Linked DNA regions of Ovis aries. The protein of the gene in region 1 interacts with the protein of each later gene in a pairwise test. Links are inferred from orthologs where the notes say so. Each region holds a gene or a part of one and is shown on either strand. Other genes may lie near its edges.

Region 1 (7,533 bases):
TTCAACCTTAAAACATATGGCTGAACAAACGTTAATTTTGTCACCAGGCTCCCCAGGTCGCTCAGATGATAAAAAAAATCCACCTGCAACATGGGAGACCCAGGTTCAATTCCTGGGTCAGGAAGGTCCCCTGGAGAAGGAAATAGCAACCCACTCCAATATTCTTGCCTGGAGAATTTCACGGACAAAGGAGCCTGACAGGCTGCAGTTCAAGGGGTCACAAAGAGTCAGACACAAGTAAGTGAGTAACACTTTCACTTTTTCAAGCTGGTCATCAAGCCAAGGTGCCCCTCTCAGTGTAGTCACCTTGAGCTCATGTGGATGAAGGCTTTACCCTGGGTGTCATCTCCATTCCTGCCTGATAGGAAGAGCATGGAGGAGCTCCTAGAGGAGCTATCTAGAGGCCAGGCCTGAAAGTGGTGCAGGTGCTTCTGTGCACAGTCCATTGACTGCACTCAATCACACGGTCATGTGTAATGCAAGGGAGCCTGGGAAACAGTGTGCACAGGAAGAGAAGACTATGGCTTTGAGGGAGCAATCTGCCACACCCCTTATATCAGTTTATCCGTGGATTCCCTAGGGATTAAGATATCTGGATCAATAATCTCTGCTTGAGAACAGGTACCCACACATAAACCATATCCTAACTGCTACTGAAAATGCTGATCAGGGACAGAGTTAAAGATCATTACATGCATTCCTTTTTCCCTAGACATCAGGTTTTTTTGATAGCTAAAAGCGGTACCTATCAAACAGATCTCACTAGAAAGAAGAAAGTCAACCCTGTTGGTCCAAATTCTAGCTGCTAGCCCACCAAGTTGTGTGTTTTATCTTGGCATTATGATGCAACAACTCATGTTATCCCCTGGTTCTTCCTTATGCAAATGTTGGTTGCTGTGAAAACAAAAATGCCTGCCATTGATCAAAGGGCAGAGCTTGCTAAGGAACAAGAGATGACGAGATGGTTCAGGCATAAACCTAACCCTGCACTCGTTTATTTAACAAGGGATATAAGAAACGGGCAACTTCTTATTGAAAAGAAAAAGTCAAAGTAGAACTTGATTCTAGTAAGAGAAAAGATGTGGCCAAAGAATTTACGTAAACTGTTTCCTCTGCTTGCACTCTTTTTGGAGGATGGTACCTGGCTTTTTTTTGTTGTGGTATCATAAGGCTCATAAAAGGATTTGGGCCTCAGACTTGGGACACTTTTGTCTACTTTCTACCTACTCTGACATTAGAGAGGGGCCAATGCAAGGAGATCCAACCAGTCCATCCCTCTAAGTGATCCATTCGCCTCTCCTATGGGGGGGAAAAGCAAAGCAAAACATGAAAGCACTGGAGATCTCAAGGCTGGGCTTTGTCAAGCATTTCACATTTCAGAAACAGAATGACCTACGGAGTTCGGTGTTACTTTAGCCAAAATTAAAAATGAACCTACGGCCTTGGACCATACCCAAGACCAGGGGTGCTGGAGAGAGCAGCTGAGAGGTAACCAGTCGGGTCCCTATTCCCCAGACTCAAATCCTGCCAAGGAAAATATTATTCGATCAACAAATATATATTTTCTGCTGTGAGTCAGGCTCTGTCCTGGGCTCTGGAGATGATGAACAAGTTAGACGTGGCTCCTGTCCTGATGGAACTGATTTATAGTCTAAGGGAAGAGGCGGAATAAAATCAGAGAAAGAATAACAATCTGAGAGGAGTGCTGAGACGGGACTTAAGAGATCAGGGAAGACATCTCTTGACAAAGCAGCATTTAAGCCAGAACTGAGTGGAGGCAAGTTAAGCTTGCTTTCAACCTATATCCCAACAGAATCCTTAAGTCTTGCTCTTTGAAACTCGATTCTTAATAGCAGTTCTTCTTGGCCCCCTACCTTATCTCCCCATTTCTTTTTCTTCATATACGTAGCAGCCGAGTTCCAAATTCTTAGCTTCCTCCTGCAAAACTTTGGAAGACTATTTTCATATTTTCATCTGTGGACAGGGCCACTTCTCTCTTCACATCTGTAAGAGGAATAGACTTTAAACTGAAGATCAGGGTCACAAAATACAAGACTGTTATGAGTACTCCAGGCTATGTAAAGAAATCCAACTCCACCTATCACAAAGATTTTATTTCTAATTGATAAAAAAGTGGAAATATATTTAAATCACCTTGCTGTTAAGTGTGTGTACAGCAAACATGGCTCCCTTGCAGTGGCTGCCTTTATTTACCTCTGGGTTGATATTCTGCCATGTATACAGCAGTAGCTAAACTGTTCATTTGGGTTCAAGGCAGAATACCCGCTGAATGACTGACCACACTTGTCCTTATCATCTTAGAACTGCACTATCCACAGGAACATAAGACTAGGACGTATAAAGTGACCTTTTTAGGTATATGTATCTACACACTGTGCATATGCATCTAAATATACATGCGCTTTGAGAAAGCATGGGAAGAACAAACTTTAACTTTTTTTTTTTGTTTTTTTTTTGTCTTTTTTTTTTTAACTTTTTAAATTTAAAAATTATCTACACTGAAGTAGGATCACTTACATAAAAAAAGGGGAAGTTATACTGAATATCTCCCCTAACATTCTAAAAACCTATTGTGTAACAGCCCACTTCTCACTTGCTTTATGAAGACCCCTACCACAGCCATATTTTCTGTGAACCCAAGTGTGATTTGGTATTACCTGCTCACATCATTCCAGCTTTCCAACCCTTATATAATCATTCTTCTTATATTCCCCTCAAATCATTATTTCTGGACTTCTGGAGACCCTTCAAAGTAACACCAATGATTGATCCCATTTTTATGAGTACCCACAGTGTGTATAATTGTTTATATGATTTTTCATAGGCTGTTGAGTACTACACACAACTCTGACTCCCTAAGCATAAAAGAGTCAGCTCTTTTGTGAAAAATATTCAAAGATTGCTTTCTTCAAAAGATCACCAAGCCAAACATTTGGCCATATTTTTATTTACTACATATACTATAAACATATACAATACATGCTACAAAAAAAAATTTTTTTTAATTGAACTGTCAAGAAAGTGTATAGTGTTATAATACAATGGCACATGTTTCATACTTTATTTCAAATTGGTTTGCTTATCATCCATTTCAAACCTTTAATAGTGAAATGTTACTTATGGATAATTAAAATTATCTATTTGCATTATTAACAATAAACAATTCCAACAATTAATAAGAACTAACCATGTCAAATATTAGTATCCAAAAAAATGGGTTTTTGCAGAAATTATTATATAAAATATAGCAGCCAATTTCGGTTTATTTTGCTCAGTGACAATGTACATATGCACTTGAATAGGATTCTTGCATTTGCTTTTGGAAGATACTTATAAGAAGTCCTCTGAGTTCTTAAGGTCCAATGACTGCCAAACCCAGCCAAAACCAACCCGACAACTCGTGTAATGGCTCTGGACAACCGATCACTGAGAAAGTCTTCTGATTCGGGTAGAGCTGCATGTTCCACCAAAATTACACATGAGGAAGAGAGACATTACAAGCCAGTATCAAGGTCAGAGGCGAAAAAAAAACACAAACATTCAAATCAGCTGTGACAAAGCTTTTCTACAAATATTTTAGATGTCATACTTTCAGGAAAACAAGACTTAATGTGTATTGGGTTTTACAGTATCTATGCTCTAACTGAAAATTTAAGAGTCATCAGATGGAATTAAATCTAGTATTGCAAACCTGTCCATTCAACATTATTGAGCACCCACTATGTGCATAGCACTGTGCCAACATTTTCAAAGTTGAGTATTAATGTCTTTATCAAGCACTATCTTAGTGTGAGGTAAAAATATATTAAATTAGCGTCAACTCATTAGTTTGCTTGTGGTAATGTATGTAATCCTGTGCCAGCTGGCTTCCCTGTGCCATATAATGAGCTTCTGCACACCTCGCATTCCCTCTCACAATCTGTATGCCAGCTGTGCCAGGCACAGTGCTAGTCACGGGGATATCATGATTTGGCATACATTCAATGAATGCGAATTAATCTTAACCTAGGCAAAACAACTGGAAAAATACATTACTTTTCTAACATGAGGCCCAAAGCAAAGAACACGGTGTTTCTATTGGTCACATCACACCACAGACCAGTAAGTGCCTCTAGACTGGGAACTAAATTTGAAAAAGTTTCATACGGTAGTCTAAATAGCCTACATCATTTTTGGTCTCAGAAGTCAATTCTTTGGAGCACCTGACCCTATATAAACCATTCCATATTTAAAAGGGTTTGTAAACTAAAACACAAAGAAAAAGAACCCCAAGTGAAGGCAGTTTATAACATAGTGTGTTTCAAGCACTATTCTGGCCATATGAAACAAATAATACAGAAGTAATTCATGATTGGTTCAAACATTTTTCAAAGCACTAAAACCCTATCCCCAAACTCATGTAATCTTAACTTGATTTTTATACAAGTTGTACATAAAGCAAAGGGCAGAATTTGGCCCCCCAACCATCCATGGAATATTCTAAGTGATTGGTCCTTCCACTCCAAGTAGAAGCCAAGAATTCCAAAAAAGCCCCTGACAGAACAATGGCACTCAGGAGAACGGCATGCTGGGTCCCATTAGCCAGGAGTCCACTGAACTGCGGTAGCAATGTGAACCTACTGTGACCCCTCGAGGGATGGCAGAGAGCTGGGAGTTTGGCTGTCCACGCAGTGAATCCAATACTGGCTTAAAGCTATGCACTGAATAAAGTGCTCTGCACATCCTGCTTATCATCTGGAATGAAAATAAACACTTATCTTGAGAATTAACCTATCTGCAGGTTTGGGGAAAAGGAATTACAAGGCTTGAAAGAATCCCAAGAAAAAGTATGAAGCATTGACTGGGAAGGAAGACAAATGCCTCTAGTAGTGTCCTCAGAATTCTCAGGATTTGAACTGTCAGAATGAGTCACACAATGGTCATGTTCCATAAATGAAAAAGCAATCCCACTGGGTACTATTCACACGTGCATGATTACTTCATGGGGTGGAAGGGAACAGTCTATTGCCATTTGACAGCATGGTTTCAGAATGAAAACCAAACCATTGAATAAATCAGGGTAAGTGGTGTGCAACACTTCTCTCCCGTCCATCAATTTTCCACAGGTTGATTTGTATTGCCTGAGAAAAGGGAGGCAAGATGCCGCTCCTTTCAGATACACTCAGGCAACGGTGCTACCACCTAAAATCACCAATTCAAAAGTTAACACACAAGCCCTCCAGTTTCGTACCCTGAATATGGTAAATAAGACCAGGGATGGAGTAGTTCAGTCTAAAAAAGATCACAGGCAACAGAATGCTTATATAAACTAGACTGCTTTGACATCTGTAAGAAAACTGTATAGATGGCAATTGGAAAAAAAAAAGATTGTTCCCATCTGTCAGCAAAACTGTTTGTTGAGCTATACTCAGCTGAAGTCCTCATCGGGATTCTGTTGATCCAGCAGACGGACATGTGTGAATGGGAAGTGACCTCGTTTGCCATTACACTCCCCTTCCCACTGACCACTCACATTAATCTTCGTAACCTTTACCAGCTCACCGACCTGCAGGAGGAGAATAAGGACAGCACTTTATTTCCAGTTATGAATGCAAGCTGAAAAACTCCATTCTCTGGTTAGCCATACCCTGCCCATGTGATTGCTCTAGGGCTGATATTACAGAAATGGCTATTTGCTGCCTCCCAAGCCCCAGCCACCAGACCGATTACTTATGGTTAATGCAGGCAAGAGGAAGAAGTGATTTTAGTAGTGCAGAGAATAACAGAGTACAGAAAATAGGAGGGATGCTAGAAAATGACACCTTTTGGAAAGTTCAAGTGTCTCTGGAGCAGCAACCCTACCTAGGATGATCTATAGGCCCTGTCTTTGTACCCACTACTCTTAGTTTCCTGCCTGGTCCACACTGGCCCTCCCCTCTCTGGCATAAAGCAGTGGAATCCCCTAGCCCACTCTTAAACACACATCCTGGCCTGGTGTTGCTTGTAGAGCAGAAGGCAATCAGAGGAAGCATACTTCATTTGGTCCCAGAAAATGGAAGTGTTCCCATCACCGTCCTACCAAGGCAAGGCTTTCCCCACCTTGGTACAGGCCAAGACTCCAAATTCCATCAGCTTCCTGAAAGCCTCAACCTTCTTCAGCTAGTTTTACTTGGCAGGCCACTGCCTGCCAGTCCCCACCACTACCCACCCCTAGCAGGTACTGACAGACTTTGCTGCTCCCTCAATGCCACCTGGTACCGGTTCCTTAACAGTAGGAGGACATCGTGTTTCTGCTGTTACCAAAAGTTTTCCTGTTGCAACATGAAATATTTTTGACAATCTAGGATATACCTGTATCTTACTATGAAACTTAAAAGACAAGGTGTTTGATGAATGGATTCACCCTGTAGCAAAGTATTTAACAATGGTGAGGTAAGTTCCCAAATGTCACTAAAGAGCTTTATGACTCTCCTTGAATTATCAACATCTGAGTTCTGCACATGCAAGTGGTTTATAAACGTTACTGTTCATTTGGTTTCATTAATAACAATATTTAACTCCCATAAAGTACTATAGTGCTTTATATAAAATCATTTTCTAATAATCATATAATCCTATAAAATAGGAATTCATTTTACATATGACATTCAGAACAACTACATGTTACATCTGAAGTCACAAAGCCAGCGACAGGGCCGAGATTTGAGCCCAGAAGTATCCAGCTCCCAAACCCACTTATGTTCTTCCACTATATTAAGAACTTTCAAACTATGCTCCCCTAGTCCTGCAGGTTCCTTCCCTAGGAAGGCCTGCAGGCTGACTACTGGCCAAAGCCAACTCAAGTTTAGGCCAGGGCCTTCTCTTAAACCAGCCTGATCTCACTCACAGAGGAAATAGGTTACCTACTGACCTACCTACAGTTTCCTAAAGAATTATATGAAAAGCTTAGAGGCCTAAAATGGCTGCAGGAATCATAAGATGCTGAGAAAAGGAAGAGAGAAACCATGGAATATTAGGGAGACAAGGGATAAGATACAAGGGTGAAAAAAGACAGCAGCTTGATGGGTTGATGATGATGAAGGCTGATGGGGAAAGGTGAGGAGAGAGGAAAATGACACTGCATATCTGTCTTTGCAAACAGATCCAACTCCTATAGGCTCTAGCACCCAGGGTTCTGTTTATTACCAGCAATCTTCCGATTCAATTCCTGATATCTGAGCAGACCAACTATGACAAGCAAAAGTTTTCAGTCTTTGTAGAGGAAGATCTGAACATCACAGGAGAAGTTCCTTGGTGGTAAAAACAGTCTGGAAGACTTCTTATATCTCCAATTCTAGTTCTCAAGACTACCTTACTGTTCTCATCTTTTAAAAATTCTTACAGTATTACAAGAAGTTAGCCTCTATATAAACTCCGTAACATGTAACTATTCCTTAGTGAATTTTCCTCCTTTCTGACCTGTTAGCCACCTTGACTCCGCAACCTTCTCTCACATACACATACAACACGTTACTGGAATTAATGGCCCTGCAC
Region 2 (7,533 bases), on another chromosome or scaffold:
TTGTACATACACACAGAATAAAAATGAGTGCCTTGAGCAGACAAGAAATTTTAAGGACTTCTTAGATTCTGTGCTTATAAGGATTAGTGGAAGAATCAAACGGAATCAAAAAGAGAATGTAGAAGAGAAATATGGTGGAGGTGGGAGAGTTTTCAGGGTGATACAGTACAGTTTGTCAAACAGTTCACTGAGAAACTGTTTGAAACATCTAGGCTCTTAACCCCTCAGGCAGCGTGTACTGTTCTTTGTGGAATAAATATATTTGTATGTTTGGCATGAAGGTGCAGAGAACTCATATCTTCTTAGCGATATAATTAATCTGCCTTGAGAGTCCAAATGAATCATTTGGAAAACTTTTTACAACTAGTAGGACTTAAAACTGAACAAAAAAAGTGTCAATCACTTTCTATGAACTGATTAGGGAACATAATCCAACAAAATAGCAAATTAAATAGATTTTCTTTTGAAAACCCCAATCCATTAAATATCTATGAATAAACTTTTGATATTAGAGGTATCAAAACTTATAGGAAGAAAACCATAAAACTTAACAGGAAGAGATAATAGACATGAGTAAATGAGGAAATAGCATGTTCAGGATGAGGAAGATTGAATGTTATGAAGATTTCACTAACAATTGCTAGTTAGAATCTGAACTGAATTTTTGGGGTGGAGGGAGTGAAGTTGACCCCATCACCCTCAAGTTCATCTTGCTCCATCTTCATGGTTTAAGTCAAGAGTATACCTCCTATCTAATTGCCATCACTGAGGAAATCTGTGACAGTTCCCAGTGCCTGTTAGTGTACTTCTCGAAGCTGTGCCAGCCTCACAGATCTTGTATATTTAAATGTGCGGATCTATGATATCAGAATGTTTTGAAGGGGAACTGAGTGAGGAAGGCAGGCTATGGGGAATTAAATGGTCCCAAGTTTTTATTTTAGACAGTAAAATAAATATAATTTATGCTTTTTTTTTCTAGAAAATATGCAGGAAAAAAATCACTAGATTAATAAATACATGAGTGAGACTGTGGATAAATGGGTGGATGCCTAGGGGGAACAGATATGTTAAGTAGGGGTAAAACCATCTGATTATTGGCACAGAAATAGAAACTGCGGAGTCATTCAACAGGGTTAGTTAGCCCTTCACCAGATAATTTTAGTAGATGGTATATGCTATATTTTGTGCTGGGTACTGACCCTTCAACTTTGAATAAATCAGGTATTATTCCTTACCTTAAGGAGTTCATAATCTACAAAAGAATATAGACAATAAAAAGTAAAACAAACACATTGCATTTAAAATGTTACAAAGGAATTTAATGTTCCTTACCAGAGGAAAATAACTAAGTAGATAGGAGCTTTGTGACATACTTTTGATAGGGCGGTCAATGAAGGCCTTTCTAATGATGTGAAATTTAAGTTGAGACAGATAACGAAAGCCATCAACCATGGTAAAAGCAGGGAAAGGACATTCTTTGCATCAGGGTGCTTGGAATTAAGGCATCTTGGAGAAACAGAAAGGAGGCCATTATGACTGAAGCTCGGAAAACTGTGGTGGAAGAAGTTAAGGAGACAAATATATCACTTAAATATGAAATCTAAAAAAAGGATACAAAGGAACTTATCTACAAAACAGAAATATAGTCACAGATGTAGAAAACAAACCTTAAGAGTTACAGGGCAGGAAAAAAAAAAAAAAAGAGTTACAGGGCAGGGAGGGAAGGGGGATAAATTGGGAGATTGGGACTGACATATACACACTACAGTATATAAAATAATTAACCAGTAAGGACCTCCTGTATAGCGGGGGAATTATACTCAATACTCTGTATTGGCTTATTTGGGAAAATAATCTAAAAGAGAGTAGATATGTGGATATGTAAAAAAAAATTTGACAGCCACAGATCTGGAATTGGCAAATCTGAACTGGACACCTATTTTGATTGGTATTGTAAGGCTTCTAAAACTTATCAGGAGTCTAGAATTGCCTCTTTGAAATATACATTTTTAAAATTAACTGAGGCAAATAAAACATTAAAGAAACAAAAAAAGAAGAGGTGAGGAGAGACCATGTAAGCCATAGTAAGGCCTTTGGATCTTAAATTAAATCATCAAGAGATGCCAAGCAAAGGAGTGACACTTTTTAAAGACTACTCTAGGGACTTCTCTGGTGATCTAATGGCTAAGCTCCCAAAGCAGGAGGCCTGGGTTCAGTCCTTGGTAAATTAGATCCCACGTGCCACAACTAAGAGTTTGCATGCCACAACGAAGGTCAAAGATCCCAAGGGCCACAACTAAGACCCAAAAAGAAAAAAAAAATAGGACTGGCTTCTGGAGGATGAAGGATGAGAGGAAGAGAAGAGACAGATTACAATTATTAAGAGGCTAAGGGATGGTAGCAGAGTAGGTGGAGAAGAATTGTTAAATTCTAGGGATGATTTGGAGGTAGAATTAGTTGGATTTGATATGTTGGATGTTATGGACAGTGGAAAGAAGACTAATGGATTACTTTCGGCCTCTTGTTTCTAAAATCTATTTGTGTGCACTTTATTGGATCTACTGTGGGTGGTAGTAGGATAGTTTATAAGTAACGGCATACAAGCTTATATTTTTCTAGTGCTTTAAAAATACTGCCATATCTATGACCTCGTTTTGGGTTGTTTAATTTTTTTGACTGAAACATTGGCTGCTGAAATGTTTTCTGAATTTATAGTTTTCCTGAAATAGAGCTTAAGTGGCATTCAGAAGTGTTTAGACTACTTGAAATTTTCATATACAAAAAAGCAGTCTTTCCCTAAACATTGTCTCTTAAAAAAATTAGTGTGGGATGTTTTTGGGGGGGAGTATTTTATTTTCTTTTTCGAGGAATAGAGAAGGAGTTAAATTTTTTTCATACTAGTAGATTTTCATGATGTGTAAATTTTGCCTGAATGAGAGCATAAAGCCAAGTGTATTTTTATGAGAGATAAAGAGAATTTTTAAAAATTGATAGGCTGTTAATACTTAACAGAACCACTTCATATTGTAGTGATGAAGCATTTTTACTTTTGGAATAGAGTTTATTATATACTGTATAACTTAATGAGAAATTAAAATCAAAATCTTAAATCACAAATATATTCAGTAACTTTCTTGTAGAATTTTGTTACATTTGATATGAGTTTGTAATTTAGTGATTTTTCCCCCTCACCTAGTAGGCCTTTTCAAAAAATGCAATTTTTAGCATTAATCTTCAAATGGAATAGATTTGTAAGAATTGATGTATTAGTTCATCAAGGAAAAAACAAATCAGTCTTATTTATTTATTTTTCAGAGGTGGCTGGATCCAAACAAACCAATAAGGAAGCAGCTAAAGAGTGAGCAAACATATTTACTTGATGTTATAAAATATACTTTATAAATATAAAGGATTAATATAATCTGATTAATTAGAACTGCTTTTATTAATTCTAGGAGGATCTCCTTACAGTTTGAACTTTAGAGTCAAATTTTTTGTAAGTGACCCCAACAAGTTACAAGAAGAATATACAAGGTGGGTTTATGGAGCATATTTTTACTTGAAAGTATTGTCAAAACTCTTACGAAATTTTGAAATTAGGCAAAAATAGATGACCATGACATAGTTCTGAGCTTCCCTGCCAGCACACAGAATAGGTTGTGGATGTTTTAAGATAAATTTCTTCCTCCTCTTTTGAATGGCTGGGAGAGATTTAGGAGGTTGTAACCCTAGGGCTAGCTCATCCAGCTGTAAGCAGTTTCCTGAGCCATAGAGATACTAACTTTATGAAAAATGGTTCAGAAGCACTGCTGTCACTAATTGTAGTAATTAGATGATGCTACAGTTGTATTCCAGGTATTCTGCATAGTGACTGTTATCTAGTTTTTTTTTCCCCCCTTGTGAAAGCATATTCTGTATTTTACTTCCATTGAAGAGAGCATAGAATTTATTAAATGTATAACCGCTGTGTGTAGAAGTGATGGTCAGCAGGTATCTCTGTAGAGCATGCTGGCAGAGAGTGCACTGGCACATTCAGGCTGAAAATCCCCACACCACTGGCCATTTTAAGTTTGATCTTCATTTACAGTTAATCCTGTTGTCCCTTCTACTTGACATAATGTACACAAGAATGACCCAGATGAGCATTTTGATATCACATAAATGTTAGGTGAACTGTTTAAGGTAGAAACCATGGGGAATAATTACAGTGTGGTAACTGTCATTATTAAAATAACTTGAATGATAACCTTACGTATTGCTTGAAAGACAGAATTAGTGGTTTTTGTTTCTAAAGACAGAATGAAAAATTAGTATATTATACCTTCCACACAATATAAGAATATAGGTCATTGGCTGTATTCAGAATTACTCTAAAAGATAAGTGACAAATTAAATATCTGAATACCATGGACAGAGGAGTCTGCTGGGCTACAGTCCCTGATGCTGCAATTAGTCTGAAAACACTGAAACGATTTAGCACGCGCGCACACACCTAAAGCTATCTGTAGGTAGGCTGTTAGATGCTAACGTCTTCATTATCCTTTAGAATAGTTCAGTAAAGTGGAGAAGCAAAGTACTGTTGAGAGTCCTTTGCTATGTGTTTGTTGTGGGGCAGGGTGTTACCATTTTTGTAACAACTCAGGCATATAGATCCAGGATTAGGTAGTCCTAACTTTTGACACTAATAATGTCCAATATAATTTATCTTGAAAGGCAAAGTTGTATCGTATGAAAACCTTAGTTTAATATTGTAACTCTTAATCAGTCAGATTTTGTTGTCGTTAAATAATTAAAGTAATAGGATCTTTTGTCGTAATAAATAGTTCTCAGTATAATAAAACATTCCCAAATTTTGGATGAACTGCAAGGAAACTGCTCTGAATTACTGAAAATTGGGAATTATAAAGCATTTTAAAATGCACTTTTTACTGGTACATGTAACTTGAAATCAAGTAACCAAGTATTCCTTAATACATATTTATGTAATTAGTTTTTAAATGTATATGAAAAATAAAAGACCAGTAATTTTTTATTGGATTTATAATGTGTTTAATGTTTATGAAAACTTTGTTAGCATAGCAATTTAAATGTTGTCAATTGTAGCTATAGTCATAATTTACTCCACTCAAAACACTGTCTTTAAATTTCTTAATAAGGTTGATGTGTTGGTTCTTTTATAGCCTGTGTTGAAAACATAACCAGGGAATAAATGTTTCACTGATAATTAAAGTCAAACTATCTTCATGAAGTAGAATAAAGTAAAATCACATTTGGTAGTAGTAGTGGAATTGTGTTAAAGTCTTATCAGTCTAAAATATGTTTTTCCTAGAAATAATGCATTATTTAAAAAGTCCTTTATAGTGTAATGTCCTGGAATCTTGTAACTGGTGCTTTTTGGTAAAATGAGTAAATGGCAAATTTTAATTTTATTACCATTTATACATCAAGGATTTTCTACTCTAATTACAAGTTAGAATCACCATAAGGGAGCTTTAAAACATACTGATAGCATGGCCAGACCCCTAGATATTTTGATTTAATAGGTATCAGATGAGACCTGGCTTCCAGGTGATTCTATTAATAATATGCAGCCAGGGTTTAAAAAAAAAGACTCCTTTAAACCTTTAGTGCTTGGGTAGCCTTCTTGTTATGGTCATGAGTAGGGGTAGGACACCTTTAGACACAGTGGCTCCGTTTTAAGGACCGGTTTAAGCCCCACAAAAAGGAAGTCTACCTCTGTACCTCCTTGCCTTGAGATTCTTTTTTGGATTAGTGGTTAAAAAAAGAAAAAAAAAAAGGAGTTACAGACCTTTCATCAGGTTAAATGTCATTTGTATTAACAGGTGCTGGCATAACTAGAGTTGGCATTTTCTTAGGGGTCATTACAATACACTGGAGAAGGCAATGGCAACCCACTCCAGTACTCTTGCCTGGAGAATCCCAGGGACGGCGGAGCCTGCTGGGCTGCCATCTATGGGGTCGCAGAGTCAGACGCGACTGAAGCGACTTAGCAGCAGCAGCAGCAGCATTACAATACAAATGACATTTCTTTTGTACCTTTTTAGTGCTCAGTATGTTCAGTACATAGTAGGTGTTCAGTGCATGATCTGTTACTATATTACTTTTACAACTTGAACAGATCATCTCTACATTTAGCTCAGTCATTATTAATCTGTCTTAAAGGTCTTTAATTGTCTTTAAAAATTGGGCTTTTATCACCATATTTAGGGCCCCTGGGATACATATACTAGGCAAGTGATATTACTTTCTTTTTACAAATAGAGAAACTAAGGCTCCACCAAATTTTAAGTAATTTGCCAAAGATCATAGGCTGGTTTAGCTTAGGACTTTAATTCTGGTTTTTATTCTATCAGTTCTTACTGCTCAGTGTGTAAATCAAATTCAGGAAGCATAGATGTTATTTGTATAGGATTTACAGTATTATATCAGGGATATACACATTTCAATCTTAACTATAAGACTGTTTCCCACTAGAAATTTTTAACTTTTAATTATGAAATCAAGTAAACCAGATAGAAATATGTTGTCTTGGGTTGAGTACATGGGTAATATTGTAATAGTATGTATTAAGCCTCACAAGAGTTTATGTACTTCACTAATATATGAAGTCAGGATATTGGTATCAGCTGTTTTATATCTGATTCTCTGAAAATCTTAATTACATTCTTTGGTAATTTGATTGTCATGGAACTCTTTAATAACTGTAATAGCCAAACAACTAAAATTGTAAATAATTTTGACTCTTGTGTACTCTTTTTAGGGGGTGAAATGAAAGTCTTAATTCTCTGTTTAAACATTAAAAATCACACAATTTTATCTTCTGCCAACATGATACAGCACCAGTGCCTTTACCCAGGCACCGATAAACCCAATCAGGGGATGACTGTACCCACCAGCAGGGACAGAAGGGCAAGGCCATCTTGTGAGCAACTTTGGTATTCTTAGTATAGGATACTTAAATTTTTGTTGGTTTTAAAGGAAATTGGCTACTTGGCAATATTAATAGTAGAGCAACAGTAGGGAAGGGAACTTTCCCCGCCCTGATCAAAGAGAGCTTTCTTAACTCAAATGAAGATGGAAAAGTGCTTTTTTACAGTTAGCAACTTCTTGTTGCCTGATGCTGTAGTGCGCAGCATAGGCTCACCACGTGGAGCTGGCCTCCTGGCTCAGCAGAAAGAGTGACTTTCTGCAGTTGATTGGTAGTGTGTTGCTACTGTCAGTTCTGTCTGTCTCTGACTTACGTTTCCTGTGCTTCCCATTTCTACTTTTGGCAAACACCAATCTTCAGAATATTTCTCCCTCATCTTTAGTCATGTAATTTTTAAAATCATGAAAGTTTTATAATAGAAGCTAGGGAAATAAAATGTTTGGAGTATAAAATTTCATTTATCAAATCTAAATATTTGGATTCATGAATTTATGAAAGTTTATTTTAAAATATCTTTACATGTGCTAATATGTTCATTAAAAAGCACATATTTCAGTTTTATTTGTTAATGTGAATATACAGTT

The links.
Region 2: the proteins of CRK (region 1) and PTPN4 interact in binary tests that used the Homo sapiens proteins (3 or more experiments, as listed by UniProt). The link is inferred for Ovis aries from reciprocal best matches to the Homo sapiens genes CRK and PTPN4.

Annotation. Positions count from the first base shown.
Region 1 is NC_056064.1:22,457,659-22,465,191, forward strand, and holds part of CRK (adapter molecule crk), read right to left. Parts: intron 5,567-7,533; coding exon 5,429-5,566; 3' UTR 1-5,428. UniProt on the Homo sapiens protein: Involved in cell branching and adhesion mediated by BCAR1-CRK-RAPGEF1 signaling and activation of RAP1.
Region 2 is NC_056055.1:185,171,253-185,178,785, forward strand, and holds part of PTPN4 (tyrosine-protein phosphatase non-receptor type 4), read left to right. Parts: intron 1-3,315; coding exon 3,316-3,358; intron 3,359-3,434; coding exon 3,435-3,534; intron 3,535-7,533. UniProt on the Homo sapiens protein: Phosphatase that plays a role in immunity, learning, synaptic plasticity or cell homeostasis. Regulates neuronal cell homeostasis by protecting neurons against apoptosis.